2 linked regions of the Tribolium castaneum genome follow. The main gene of each other region encodes a partner of the protein of the gene in region 2 in a complex. Links are inferred from orthologs where the notes say so. Each region holds a gene or a part of one and is shown on either strand. Other genes may lie near its edges.

What was found.
Region 1: the proteins of U2A (region 2) and snf are in contact, whole or in part, in a crystal structure (PDB 6F4J), measured with the Drosophila melanogaster proteins. The link is inferred for Tribolium castaneum from reciprocal best matches to the Drosophila melanogaster genes U2A and snf. Residues at the interface, in NP_610315.1 of Drosophila melanogaster: Tyr15, Asn17, Pro18, Arg20, Glu23, Asp25, Arg27, Ser50, Leu70, Asn72, Asn73, Ser92, Ile94, Thr96, Leu121, Ile122, Leu144, Asp146, Phe147, Arg148, Lys149, Lys151; in NP_511045.1 of Drosophila melanogaster: Ile18, Glu22, Lys24, Lys25, Ser26, Tyr28, Ala29, Ile30, Ser32, Gln33, Phe34, Gly35, Gln36, Ile37, Leu38, Asp39, Ile40, Phe72, Pro73, Phe74, Tyr75, Asp76.

The regions. Positions count from the first base shown.
Region 1 is NC_087394.1:32,061,210-32,064,058, forward strand, and holds snf (U1 small nuclear ribonucleoprotein A), read left to right. Parts: upstream 1-1,166; 5' UTR 1,167-1,469; coding exon 1,470-1,706; intron 1,707-1,799; coding exon 1,800-2,047; intron 2,048-2,096; coding exon 2,097-2,256; 3' UTR 2,257-2,335; downstream 2,336-2,849. Other genes in the region: oxysterol-binding protein-related protein 11, read right to left, coding at 2,421-2,466. UniProt on the Drosophila melanogaster protein: Binds stem loop II of U1 snRNA. It is the first snRNP to interact with pre-mRNA. This interaction is required for the subsequent binding of U2 snRNP and the U4/U6/U5 tri-snRNP. Plays a role in regulating sex-lethal splicing.
Region 2 is NC_087395.1:21,924,824-21,927,945, forward strand, and holds U2A (U2 small nuclear ribonucleoprotein A'), read left to right. Parts: upstream 1-1,481; 5' UTR 1,482-1,567; coding exon 1,568-1,649; intron 1,650-1,695; coding exon 1,696-1,843; intron 1,844-1,893; coding exon 1,894-2,246; intron 2,247-2,301; coding exon 2,302-2,427; intron 2,428-2,476; coding exon 2,477-2,511; 3' UTR 2,512-2,613; downstream 2,614-3,122. UniProt on the Drosophila melanogaster protein: Involved in pre-mRNA splicing as component of the spliceosome. Associated with sn-RNP U2, where it contributes to the binding of stem loop IV of U2 snRNA.

The DNA.
Region 1 (2,849 bases), on a different chromosome or scaffold from region 2:
ATAAAATTTTAAGAGACAGGCGTCTAATGTAGGTACCCTATAATATACCATGAGATCCAAAAATTCTTTCATCCAAACCAAAGCTTTTCACAAATAATACCTAAATCCTATTTCATTTCATAGTAGAATTTTTTGACAGCGCATTTGAATTTGTTGGAGTGAAATAAAGCACAAATTTAGAGTTTTTTTTATAAGAAAAGAACTCTGGTTTAAGCTAAATTCTAGCAACATATTTTGAGCCAAGAAATCCCACAAGTAACTCTAAAAAATGCAAATATAATGAAAATTACTTACATAAAATTACATAATCTCGAATAGATTTGATTACAATTAAAATGTTCTGTAAACCGGCTTATAGATCTGAAATATTGATTAAAAAATTAGAAAATATTAAAATTTAGATTAGAAAGACTTTAATGAAATAAATATTTCTATCGTCTTATCGTGAAATTATTTTTCGATTGAAAAAAATACTTGTATTCTTGTAGCAAGTGTTAATTAAATACAATTTTATGGCAACGTCAATTATTGTTTTTACGGATGGATTGCGTGGAGTCAAGCACTTGGGTTCGACTGTCGAAGATGCTTTCATAATAAAATCTAAACGTTGCCATAAAATTTTATTTAATTAACAACTCCTGGCACAAGAACACTAAATAATTTTTTATTTGAATTACATATTTTTACATAATAAGTTTTATTTACCTATGTTTTTATTAATTTTTATTTTTGTGCTTTTGACAAACTAGTAGTCACAAATTTTTTTTTCAGAAAGAATATCAAGAGACTGAGAGGATGTGATCTGCATATAATTTTGACTTTCTTATCAGCAGCTTCGTTAATCAACTTTTTTTAATAACAACATTTAGGGTAAGTTTGGATTAATTAAGTAATGTTACGTAAATAAATGGAGAGTTTAGAAGTCAGTCAGTGTAAGTGAAATAACAATTAAGTATTCAAAATTAGAAAAAATAAAAATTTGGCAAAACACAGGTGAAAAACAGAATTGTTATCGAAAGACTTAATTGGCTAGGCTTCTGAAAAAGGTAATAATGTAGTGTCTTCGACAATAAAACCTTATTTTTTACAGAAAATTTTATTCAAGGGTAGATGTTCATTGTATACAACCAACAATACAGTACACGAGTAGCAGACTTGTCGGATAGATGTCAGCGCAATATCAAACAGGAAGTTAATCGACGCCATTTTTGTAGCCGACCACCTAAAGCTTTGAAGTCAAACAACAATGATTCAATCTAAAGATTCAGCTGGTTTATTATACAAAGTTTGGTGTTTGAATCCATTGTCGGCGTCGAAACGTTTTGTAAATTTTCATATATTCGACTTAAGTACAAAACAAATTAGACTGGAGAAGTTTAATTCCAAGAAAACGTGCTAATCCGATCAGATTTATTTACCAAACAAGAGGTATTCTGCTAAGAACTAGCTGAGATAACTAACCTCAAACCATGGATATTCGACCAAATAACACAATCTACATCAACAACCTAAACGAGAAAATCAAGAAAGAAGAACTGAAGAAGTCACTCTACGCCATATTTTCCCAATTTGGCCAAATCCTGGACATTGTGGCCCTCAAAACCCTCAAAATGCGGGGCCAAGCTTTCGTCATTTTCAAGGAAATTCAAAGCTCGACCAACGCTTTACGCTCCATGCAGGGGTTCCCGTTTTACGACAAACCAATGGTGAGTATTCCGCCAACATTTTAAGACTCATTTTATAAATGTAAATATTGTGCATTGCACCAGGCACAAGCGTAACTAACTCCCCTGTTTCAGCGAATTCAATATGCAAAGACAGATTCCGACGTTATTTCGAAAATGAAGGGTACGTTCCAGGAGAGGCCCAAGAAAATACGCCCCCCGCCTTCCAAGGAGGACGAAGCGCCTAAGAAAAAGAAGAAGAACAAGGACCCCAACAGAATCCCCGGTGGAAGCAACGCTGAACAACCTCCAAACCAAATTCTCTTCCTTACTAATCTGCCCGACGAAACGAGCGAAATGATGTTGTCCATGCTTTTCAATCAGTATGTTTGGTTCATTGGTTAAAATACTTGACTCATTTTTATTCAATAGATTCCCTGGATTCAAAGAAGTGCGTCTTGTGCCCAACAGACATGACATCGCTTTTGTGGAGTTTGAAAACGAGTTGCAGTCAGGGGCTGCCAAGGACGCCTTGCAAGGGTTCAAGATCACACCCACACATGCCATGAAAATATCGTTCGCAAAGAAATAAGACCACAAATTACGTAAATAATTATAAGGAACAGTTTTATAATTTAACAATCAGTCATAAACAATTTTTCAGTTCTGAAGCTCTGTTCTTGATGTATTCGTGTGACAAAACGATTTGTTTCTTGGCTATTTGTGATTTTTCCTCATTTTTGCAGCCACTTCAGGTCACACTTTTTTATAAAATTTGCAACGTTTCGTTAGCCCACACTTCCTAAAAAAGTTTAAATTAATGCTAAAATAAAAGGAAAGTTTGAGCCTTTAGGTTATCTGAGTTTTCGCACGCCGTGTAAAATAAAATTTAATTTATTTATGGTATATTTACCCTAATACAAATTATTTTCTTCACCATGTCTATTCTATGCTTCAAATTTTACACAAATAATTATAATTAAAACATCATGGTGGAAAAAAAATTACAAATTATAATGGACTTGCACTACAATTGGTACAATTGTGAAACTAAAACCTCAAAATAATTCTTACATTTTGAAATTACAGTACAACTTCTTTAATCCGACCAGAATTTTTTGTTGCAGTCAAATCTATACTACGAATGTTAGGATCAAAAACTTGGAAAAACAATTGGTTATTGCT
Region 2 (3,122 bases):
ACGATATTTCCGTTACTCCAAATTTGAATAATCTAAGGTCGCGCTGATTGTATTGTGACTCGCAAAAATTTTGTATAACTTGTGAGAGTTGCTAAGTGTCGTTTAATTTGAATGCGTTTCTTCACCGTAGTACTAGTGTTTCTGCAATACCACATCATTAGACATTCTTTCATTCTGTCGTCCACGAATGTGGGTTAATGATGTTATTTTATTAAATACTTTTTGAAACGAATTTCAAATCAGCGCGATCGGCTCGAAAGTTGACAATGCAGCTAATTATGATTCACCTTTTTGTAAACATGGAATTTAACTCAGGGGAAGTCCTTGCCTAAGGACTGCCGACCGGAAGCGAGCGCAGCCTTCTCACATATTTTCGGTAACGACCGCAGGCTGCATTTCCATAATTATTTAATAAAGTGGGATATTTATAGACGCTGTGTATGCAGCGCTGCTAAATTAGGCGATTTGCAGTACTGTTCCGAAGACACTCGCACTTTTATTCCAATTAGCATAAGTAAACAAGGCAACAATTGCATTCTTTCAGGTGGGTGGCATTATACAATTATTACACATTGCGTATTTAAAGTGGGTCCTTCAGAAATTTGTGATGTGAGAAACCTTTCCCTCAAGTACAATTCGGCTCACAATTAATTATCATCAGGTGGTAATAAATCTTATCGCGAAACGCGCATTCTTCAAGTCTCATTAGCTCGGAAAAGTCACAAGGAAATTTTCTTCCAGATTAAGAATGGAACGAGTTTTATCACTCATCGGCGCGTAATTGGTGTAAGTTCAATGGAAATAAACCCGTTCGGTTTGGATAAACATTTGTGACGTCAATGAATAATTTGGCTCTTGTTTTTTGCTCTAAGGGGAAGTGAAGAAGACAATGGCTTGATTCGTTTCACGAAATCATTTTTTGATTAATTAATGACGATGCGGGGAATCCGACAGATAATAATACTTCAAACGTACATTCCACACATTCATTGTGTTTTTCTTATTGTTTAGCAACTTTTTTTAGCCAGAATTAGCATATTTGTGACCAACACAAATCGCTGAAATAAGTGTTGGCAGACGTGTTTTTGTATATAGTGAAGCCTTTGAATCCGAGCCATTTTTGTTTGGGGTTTTCCCGATTATGAAATTAATTTTTTCTTACCTAATTAAAATAAATAAATAACTGAAGCAGGACTTTTTATTACAAAATACAATAATGTAACATACGGAGTATATTATCAAATTATCATTATCAGCTGTTAACAGTTAAAAGTAAGTTTGTTTTTCGGGTTAGAAGGGGTTCGGATTAACGACGTTTTCCTGTATTTTTTCATATTTAGATTCCATGTTTTGATACAAAAATTAAATTATTAATTATTTGGTCCCAATGATTGATATTTATTGCTTCATCTTAATTTTGGAAATTTTTGGAAATTCAGGGAAATTGCGTTTGGGGCGCTCTCTACAGGTATTCGTGTAACAATTACAGAAACCTGTAACGGTAGTCGGTGAAATTGATGGCTTGTGCGTTGTTTGTTTAATTGTAATTTTTCGCTAAAACCTAATTATGGTGAAGCTAACAGCCGAGCTGATTCAAAATTCCATGCAATACATAAATCCGGTAAAAGACCGCGAGTTGGACTTACGAGGTGAGGACCAAATGTAAAAAAGTTGGGTTAAGTCATCTTTTTTTAGGTTATCGCATCCCCGAAGTGGAAAATCTGGGGGCCACCGGTGACCAGTTCGACACAATTGACTTTTCGGACAATGATGTGCGCAAGTTGGATGGTTTTCCGTACTTGAAGCGGTTGAAATGTTTGCTTTTTAACAATAACCGTATTGTGTAAGTTGTGGGGTTTTTTCGTTTTTTTTTTTTGAGTTTTGGGGTTTTAGACGCATTGGGGAGCATTTGGAGGAGTACATTCCTAATTTGGAGACGCTGATTTTGACTGGGAACCACTTGGAAGAGCTGGGTGATATTGAGCCGTTGTGCACTTTGGAGAAGCTCACCACAGTTAGTCTTTTACATAACCCTATCACTTCCAAGCAGCATTACAGGCTATACCTAATTTATAAGTTACCGCAGTTAAGGTTGCTCGATTTTCGTAAAGTCACAGCTAAGGAACGGGAAGAGGCGAGGGCTCTGTTTAAGAGTAAGAAAGGCAAGGAGATTAGGAAAGAAATTGGGAAAAGGGCAAAGACGTTTATTCCCGGAGGTACAGGTAACAGTATTGCCAAAAGTAAAGGTACGTCTTACATTTTCTGTGAGTTTTATTTTTTCAATTTAATTATTTTTTCAAGGCCTTACAGACGAAGAAATTGCGAAAATTCGTGAAGCTATCAATAAGGCCAGTTCTTTGGAAGAGGTTGAACGGTTACAGAAGATTTTACAGTCTGGTCAAATTCCTGGTCAAGAAGAAATGAACGGTTAATTTTTTCTATGATTTATTGTGGGAAATGTAATATTTTTTTTCAGGATATCAAAATGGACAAAGTATGGAATATGAATAAGTTTGAGGTAATTTTCAGTCAGGTGTACAATTAATTAGTTTTATTTATAAGTTCCGGTTGATAAGAGTATTGTACTACACTAAATACAAGGTTGAGAAGCGAGCGGAATTAATTTTTCATTTTTTCTAATAAAGCAATACGTACAATAACTGGGTATTATTTCAATCTTTCCCGACTGAAACAATGCCTTTCTGGCAAGATTTATCTGTTTCAGAAATTAATTGAACGAAATAAGCTAACAACAAATTTTGTTTTGCAGCTAATTTTTCGAAGAAAATTAGTTTTTAGTTTTCACAGCGAGCAAAAGTAATGTTAATTACAGAAATAAACCAGTTTTTTAAATTTTGCGGATTTTAAATTTGTCTGTAAACATGTAAAAAATAAAAAATTGTTTTTATCTCAAAACCGTCTTGCGAATACTTTTTAGTGGCTACTCGTGTCATTTTAAGAGCGCCTTGGAAATTGTGTCTAAAGTGACCGAAATACTTTTCAAAGTGTGTGGTAATAGTGGTTTTAGAATATTTCAAAGTTCAAATAAATTTTTTCATTTCAGAATGTTTTAGTTGATTTGGAATTATTTCTATAACAATTCGCGTCACTTATTTTATCTT